Sus scrofa: one gene and its partner. The protein of the gene in region 1 interacts with the protein of each later gene in a biochemical or structural test. Links are inferred from orthologs where the notes say so. Each region holds a gene or a part of one and is shown on either strand. Other genes may lie near its edges.

The links. The genes of interacting proteins can lie anywhere in the genome.
Region 2: of the proteins of LIMK2 (region 1) and ROCK1, one has a biochemical effect on the other in vitro, tested with the Homo sapiens proteins (2 studies listed by BioGRID). The link is inferred for Sus scrofa from reciprocal best matches to the Homo sapiens genes LIMK2 and ROCK1.

The regions. Positions count from the first base shown.
Region 1 is NC_010456.5:47,982,517-47,986,783, forward strand, and holds the start of LIMK2 (LIM domain kinase 2), read left to right. Parts: upstream 1-1,467; 5' UTR 1,468-1,637; coding exon 1,638-1,653; intron 1,654-4,267. UniProt on the Homo sapiens protein: Serine/threonine-protein kinase that plays an essential role in the regulation of actin filament dynamics. Acts downstream of several Rho family GTPase signal transduction pathways.
Region 2 is NC_010448.4:106,312,199-106,316,430, forward strand, and holds the start of ROCK1 (rho-associated protein kinase 1), read right to left. Parts: upstream 2,801-4,232; 5' UTR 1,851-2,800; coding exon 1,758-1,850; intron 1-1,757. UniProt on the Homo sapiens protein: Protein kinase which is a key regulator of the actin cytoskeleton and cell polarity.

The sequences.
Region 1 (4,267 bases):
TGAAGACTGTGAGGCTGGAGGTGTGAAAACAATGGAACAAGACAGAGTGAAGAGGGAGAAGAGACAGATTTGGGTGCTTTGCTGAGGGACAGAGGAAGAAGGAAGACTCCCAGGGGTCTTGGTTCCAAAGCTGCCAAGGGCTTAGGTAGGGAACATACACTATAACCTCTTTCCATGTGCAGGGCAAATAAATACTGCTCCTTTTTGCTAGCCATGAGGTGGCTTGTCAGGAGAGTCCTCTGGATCCCCGTCACTTTAATTCAATACATAGTCTCATCATTACTGTAGTCAGAGCAGAAATTTCCTCAGAAACTAAAGCCAACTGCTGAAGAGGATTCCTAGGACCTAAGGAAAGCCAGGTACATCACCTCCACCACCCCTCAGCACTTTCCTCACACTCAGGACCTCAGGAGCTACCTACTACACCCAGAGGAGAAAAATCTGACCTGCATCTAGTTTGGACTACAGGATCAGGGCAGGAAGGGAGAATTATGCTCACCTTTGCTTACTCGAGTGCTGGTTGAATTTTGTCCTTGGTAGGAGTGTCATCCATTTCCTCAGGCCCCATCCCTGTCCCTTCCTGGTCATTTGTATGTTTTTCTCATGACCTAAATCTGATCTAAAGAAATGGCAGTTTCCAAAGACCCAGCACAGGAGAATCTGATGGGAGGGACCAGCTGATATGACAGACCCTTCGTCACACAGAGGACCTCAGTCCCCACCCAAACCCAGTGAGGGAAGTGGTTCTCAAAGCCCCTCAGCCAGCTAACAGCTGCCAGAGACCAGTCTGCTGTCCCAAGGCCTAGTCTAGTGCTCTCTTCTTTATAGTCCAAAGGGCAAATCCAGTTCACAGGTATATTTCCTTTGACCTACATGGCATTTTTAGAATTTGAATGTTAGCAACATTAAAAAAAAAGGGGGGGGGAATTGCACCTAAATACCTGGATTTTTGACTTGTCTTGAAAAATTGGAAGACCTGGTGTTCTGGGCTCATTTGTATAACCTACTTGACCGCTGAGTGTCAGCTTGCTCCTAGTGGCACAAACAAGTGGCTTCTCTGAGCTGGAAGCTTCTAAGAAAAGCCCACCCCCAACCCCCCAAAGGTATTTGTGGGGTAAACCTGGTTTCACCATGTTCATATTTTTGATGCCAAATACTCTACTGGAGAGAGCTTTCGACTGGGAGTGAAGAGCCTGCCTTCCCAGCCCAGCCCAGCCCCCAATGAGCTAAGCCATTCTGAGCTAGTCAAAACTTGTCCCCTCTGGTCCTCAGCCGTCCTCATCTGTAAAATGGGCTGAGGGTCCTCTGTGTTGAGATCTCCACCCTGCGCAGCGTCTGCGCAGCCTCGTCAGCTCAGGCACCAACCGAGGACGCCGTTCGCGCTAGGGGGCACCAGAGCCGCCAAAGAGTCCGACCGGTGGGCGGGCCAGGGTCCCGGGGCGGGGCCTTGCGTCTGTTGGGCGGGGCGTCGGCGGGCGGGGCCCCGGTGCCAGGTGCGGTTTGGTCCTCCCCGGGCGCCGTAGGCGGCGCATCCCTCGCGCCCGGGGCTGAGATCCTCCCGCGCCTGAGGCAGCGGTGGCAGCTGAGCGGAGCTGCAGTGGCCCCAGCCTCCTCCCCATTTCCGCGCCTCCGGGACCATGGCGGCGCAGGCGGGTAAGGAAGGGCCAAGCAGTCCTGTCCCGGGCCCGGGGCGCCTGAGGGGAGCTGGCGGCCCCTCGGGGGTTTCGGGCTGAGTGGACCCGGGGCGGGGGTGGCCCCGGCTCCTTAAAGGAAGAATTTGGGAGTGGTGAGCACCGCGCTTCCCGAAGACTGGGAAGTTGTGGAGGGAGGGCGGGGCGGCTTGGGCGACTTCCCGTGAGTTGAGGTCCCTGGGAGGAAGGGATGCTGGCGGCATCTTTTTTTGTGGACTTGGCGACCGAAAGTCTTCAAAACTCTTTCTAAAGAAGCTGAAGGATCCGGATTCCCTAGAGGGTTTGGGGAGTGTGAGGAGCACGGGGTCCTCAAAGTTGGGAGCACTTCTGAGAGGATGGAGCGTATACCTCGGGTTCTGGATTTTCTGTGGAAAATTGAGGAGTTTGACTCCCGTCACGGGATCCGAGGCTTCTGGCGGGTGTCTCGGTGCCTGCGGCCCCCTGGGTCTTGGGTTCTCTGCGAGAAAAGGGCAGTGTGGGCTCCCTTGGGTTTTGGGACACGACCTGGGGGGAGAGAGAAAGTGGAGCATTATTCCTGGGGAAGGTAGGCTCCCCAGGGGCTCGGGCCCTCTTGGTCCCTCTGACACAGGAGAGGAATGTGGCCAAACACCTCCTGGAAAGAAGAGCTTATGAGGGTGAAGGGTAGCTTCAGTGTTAGGTTGGCTGTGCCTGCGGTCCCCTCCCAGTCACTCACACCACCCTGCAGCTTCCTGCCCTCCTGGCCTGTCTCCCTGCACCAGGGACTTTCTGTTTCCCAGCCACCTGTGTGGGTGGCCTAGCCTTTAGGTCGACCAGGGTCAGCGTCCAGAAGCTTTCTAGAGCTGGCAGGAGGGAATAGTGGAGGAGGGAGGCTGTCCTGGAAATCTGCCCCCGCTTCCTGGCTTTCAGCCTGTGGACAGTCACTTCCTCCATCCTGAATACAAGGACCAGGCCACCAGTGGGTCACTTCCTCACCATGGGAGTATGGGATTTTCTCCTCATTCTTGATAATAGGCTTCTGGAGAAGGAGGGCTAGGGGTAGGAATACTCCCTGTCCCTTCCTCTTTGTTTTTCTGTTTTTGTTTTTGTTTTTTAGCTTCCAGAGTTCTTTAGCTCAAGTGATCTCCATTGGTTTTTTCCTAACCTCTGTAGCATAGGTTTCCTGTTCTGAACCTTGAATCTCAGAAACTTGTGAAAGATCTTAGAGTGCAGTAGTGTTTATTAGTTTTTCTCTGAGTGATTCATAAAGCTGTCTAGAGGCATTACTGTTTGTAGATGCATTAGTCTGTACATTCTTTTTTTTTTTAGGGCCACACCTGAAGCATGTGGGAGTTCCCAGCCTAGGGGTTGAATTGGAGCCGCAGCTGCCAGCCTATGCCACAGCCATAGAATGCCAGATCCTTAACCCACTGAGTGGGACCAGGGATCAAACCCGCATCCTCCTGGATACTAGTCAGGTTTGTTACCACTGAGCCACAATGGGAACTCCAGCCTGTACATTCTTCTGTGAGAATATTTGTTGGATGCTTCTGTACCATGTACTTGGTCAAACACTGAGGAGTATGGTGATGAACAAAATCGATATAATCTTTGCCTTTGGGATGCTTACAGTCCTAGAGATGAACAGTAAATAATTGAGGTAACAATTGAGATAAATGCCATAGTAACTGAGATAAGCAATTGAAATAAATGCTGTACGATTGCACCAGAGGTAAGAGGATAGGGAATAATTGTGTTAAAAAAGCAAGTTTAGGAATTTTCTTATAGTGCAGCAGGTTAAGGATCCGGCATTGTCACTGCAGGACTTGGATCACTTGCCGAGGAACTTCCACATACTGCAGGTACGGCCAAAGAAAAAAAAATCAAGTTTATACTGACCCTTGAGGATAAGTAGAAGCTAGTCCAGCTAAGAAAAGACAAAGAACTTCCCAAGTAGAGAGAATAGCATAAAGAGACCCTGAGTAGGAAGGCATATGGTGCCTTTGAAGAGCTGAAAGGAAGCCAAGTATGGCTTTTTTATGGATGAGGAGACTAAGGTTCAGCAATTACTTGTTCAGGGTTCCATAGCCAAATAAATGGTGGTGGTCAGAGGTCATATTTTCCAGATTCACATTTGGTGCTTCATCTCTGTATCACAGACACCAGAATGAGGTTTCCCATGGAGTCAGAGAAGGAAGTGGGGCTTCAACTTTTACCTGCCCTATCTAAGCTGTGTTCCAAGACAACTCAGATTCCCTTGTAACTGGAGAATCAACAACAAAGAAATCAAATATTTACTGAGTACCTGTGATGTCTAAGGCATTGGGTTGTGCCAAGTATTACCTCTTAGAAATTTTAACAGATGCTAGAGCTGGGGGAGACTTGAGATAATATAACTCTCCTTATTTTATATGTAAAGAAACTGAGACCCAGGGGGAAAAATGGATTTGTTGTTGATTTTTTTTACTCAACTAGTGATAGATCAGGACTAACCTGATAAAGAAATTCTTTGTAGGCCTTCCCCTAGATAAGAAAATGCCTACTCATTCACAGCTAAGTAAACTTATGGTTGGAAGTGAGAACATGAGTGCCCAAAAGCCACAGGACTCATCTGTCTT
Region 2 (4,232 bases), on another chromosome or scaffold:
ATATAGCATACTCTGGCTCTCAACTCACAGAGAGTTCTTCCTTTCAATATACAAGAATGTATATTACCTATACCAAATATTTGAAATTTATCACATATTTCCTCTGTGAAGTGTTAGCTTTGTTTTTGTGTATGTGTATAAGATTAGGACTTGTTTTTCTAAACAGATTGGTACTTTTAAGGAAAGACTCCATGACTTATATTTCCTTGTATCCTCCACATTTCAATAAACTTGTGACGTTCCCAACAAATGAAGCTATGGCAATAGGCTAGAAGACAACTAAAAACAAACCCCACCAAACAACAACAAAAAAATCTACTAAACCCTCCTTGTAATGGAATAAGGAGATCAAAAAGCAATGTAAAATCACAGATACAAGGAAACTGGACAAATATTAAATGAAGAATTAGACATCTTAAGAGTTACAGAGATTCTTCTTAGAAAGACATGTCCTAAATTCTTCCACTTCTCTCATTCGATAAAATGTTCTCAATTGTATTAAGCATTAACCCTCCTTTTTGTTTCTCAATATGAAGAGCATGCACAACGTGGGTGAGACATTTCAAACATAAAGCCCACAGTTTATTTCAGTCAAGGATGCTCAGAGTAATTTAAAAAGCTGTGGGGAGAAACTTTCATGTAGAACCATACACATTAGAAAACATACACAGGTATTTGGGAGTAACTGAAATGTATGTTAATTTTAAATGATCTACATCATTTCCCTGATTCAAGATGAGATTTTAAAATATTATTTCTCTGGAGTGGAATTATTTAGTTCACTTAATTCTAATCCCAAATATTGTGTACATCTAACACCTATCCCTGAGAAGGTTGTAAATCACTATTCATATACATACTCTTTGCAACCTTAGAGATTATATGGTTGTGCATGGACCAATAGAACTATTATATAACTTTTAGTTGTTCAGTAAAATAAAAAGAAAAACTTCCTTACAGATGGTTTCCAACTATTACTATTAGGGGAAATTGACAAAACTTAAGAATTCCAATTATCTACAATTAATTGTTCATGCTATAAACCACTGAAGAATTTTTAAAATCGTGTTTTGGCCTTTCATATCATAAAAACTTCTTTAGAATGTTTCAAAAGACATAATGTTAACAGGTACAACACTACCAAAAAAAGGGCAGTTATGATAAAATATCTGTGCAGGACTTCTGTAATCAACAATATTGTAAAAGACTTTAATGTGATGACCTATCATCAGTTATCTTGGATTTTTACACTTAGTAGTCCAGCAAAAAAGTTCTCTCAGACTCAAATCACCTATGACACTTTGGCTCAAAAATCACTTCCTCAATATAGATTCTATATTGTCACAAGTCTAAAAATTAAACCCTTAAGGAGGTAAATCGCTGAAAATGGAAAACAGTCTTTTCCAATCTTACTGTCAAACCGATCAGAAAGATTAATATTACTAAAATCGCCAATCAACAAACTATACACATAGTAATAAGCTGGACGGGGTAACTATGATGCCTGCAAGTTTATTAAGTGTCTTTTGTGTAATGATGAACTGAGTCAGAACTACAAGTTGAGAGAGTAGTTAGTACAATGATAAACAGGGCCACAGCACGAGATTTTAGTGGTACTCCAATATTCTTCACAAACACCACCAGATTTTGGTGTTTTCCACACCTGAATTTTTCTTTTGCCGATAACCAGACTGAAAGCAAGAGGAAGGAAATAAACAGAGAACCTCAGACAAGCAAAAGAGAACTGGGCTACTCACCAGCAAACAATCTGAATTCACTTCCGATTTGGGATCCCGCAGCAAGTTGTCGATTTTTTCAAACCGAGTCTCAAAACTGTCCCCAGTCGACATGTTGCTGCTACTGTGACAATACCCTCGTACCAGCACAAGCAGCGGAAAGCAATTTCAGCCAACTTCCTCCGGCGGTGGGTTCGCGGCCGCCGGGCGGAGGAGCCGGAACTCCAGGGTCACCAGGTGCGCGCGGTCCCCCTCCTCCCCCTCACTAAGGGGATCTCCGCTCTCCAGACCCCGGGCCGGGGGCGACGGCGACCCACAGCCGCTCGGATGCCCAAAGTAGCATCCCACCCGGCAGCCCCTCACGACAGCCGACAGCGCCGTCGCCACCAGACTTGTCGCTCCAGGCAAATGCTTCAGCCTAGCGGGCCCCGGCCGCCTTGGCCATGGAGAGTTCCCGGTCCCGAGATGGGCAGGAGGGGGTAGAGAAAGAGAAGCAGGGTGGAGACTCCTCCGGGCAGCAGGGGAGGGAGAGGAGGAAAGGCGAAAGCGAAGGGCGGGTGCGGAGCCGTGCCAGCTGCCGCCGCCGCCGCCGCCTGGGCCCCCGGCCGGGCCCGCTCCGTTCTGAGGCGCTGGAGGCGGTCTAGCCCTGCATCCCCGGCACCACTTGGCCCGGCCCGACGCACCGACCCGCGCCGGCCAAGAGCTGGTCCCCGAGGGATAGCCTCACTCTCCCATTTTGTCCTGGCGCTGCTGGGGCTGCTGCTGTGGCGTCCGGCGGGGCAGGGCGAGGTCGGTGCCCGATGGAGACTTAGGAGAGGACAGGCTGGAGAGCGGCCGGTAAAGGAGATGAGAGTCGGGTCCCGGCGGCTGCTGCTGGGGGAGCTCCTGGGAGGTGCTGCGGCCCCGGCTGGGGAAAGGGCGAGTCGCGACGGCGAACGCTTTGGGGGGTGGGGCGATGGGGGCCGTGAGGGACTAATATGTCCGCCTTCCTGTTCAAACAAACGGAGACCGCCGGCGTAGACTGCGCATGCGGGGCGCGGACGTTCGGAAGGGGAACCGGGCCTGCCTCGCGCGCGCGCGCGCGCGCGCACTCCGGCGCCTCCGCAGGGCCGGGCGGGGCTGGGTTGGGCGGGGCCGGACGGAAGGCGTGGCGCACCCCGGGCTTCGCGGGCGGGCGGGGTAGGCTGGCAGCCGTGAGGAGCCGACCGGGTGCGGCAGGCAGCGTAACCCTCTCGCCGGCAGGCTCTAGGGAGCCACGCAGCGCTTAGGAAGCGGCTGTGAGAGTCCGGGCTGGGGAGGAGCTCTTGCTGCCTCTAGTCGCGTCCTGGCCGCTGCCTCAGCTCCGCTTCCTTTGGGCTGCAACCGTCGGGTGAATTCTGGCAAGAAAGAAAGGGTGCTTGTTATTGTTATTTTGGAGCTAAGTGGGTTTTTGTTTTTGTTGTCGTTTGTTTCTTGTTTTAAGGGCAAATACCTTTCCGCCGGCAGGCATCAGCATTTTGGCACCACCGGTTTCAGGTCTTCAGTAGTACTGAGTGAACTCCACATGGTTTAACTCGCCTGTGCTTCCATGGGAAAATTACGAAGCAATGCAGTTCATAACCCTCCTAAACCGAGCGTGTGTGTCAGGGGAGCATTAAAATATTGACTCCGGAAGATCTAGTCAGTAGAAATCAAACTCAGTTTAGTTTAAAAAACAAGCCAAATAATAATTATAATCTCGTAGGAAAAATCCGTATTTTTAAGTTAATGTTACTAGTTGTCCTACACCATTGTAGTTCACTTATTGATGCGTAATCCTGACGTTTCAATTTCAAAACATTCAGTGAAACTTGGAATTGTGATTTTACCAGACTAAAGTAGAACGTGAAAATAATGGGCATGTCCTCTTAAATAAGTTGCGTCATTGACTGTACTGAGAGAGTGAGACTGTTCCCCAATCTGCTGATAAAGTTATGTTCCTCACTGCTTTCAGCAGGAAATCTACCGTAATTCGTATGTAGTCAATCTTTAGTTTTGCTCATAGGTCAAATGAAGTATTGCCAGAAATAAAAAATGTAAATGTTTTATCCCACACTGGAAAATGCTGCAGATGAACCAATTGTCTTTGTATGTAAAAATCACTGTGCAGCGTCTGAACAGTTCACCAACTTTCTGAAGTGAGTCAGGGTTTAGGAAAAGTTATATTATTTGAAAAATGTCTCTTCTCTTTTCATTGCATTAGATACAAGAAATAGATGTAAAATCCACTGTATAAATCAAGATAGGAAGTCCTCACAAGAATCATATCAAAAACAACTAGATGGGGAGTCCCCATTATGGCTCAGTGGTTAATGAATCCGACTAGGAACCATGAGGTTGTAGGTTCCCTCCCTGACCTTGCCCAGTGGGTTAAGGATCCGGCGTTGCTGTGAGCTGTGGTGTAGGTCACAGACGAGGCTCGGATCCCTTGTTGCTGTGGCTCTGGTGTGGGCCAGCAGCTACAGCTCCGATTAGACC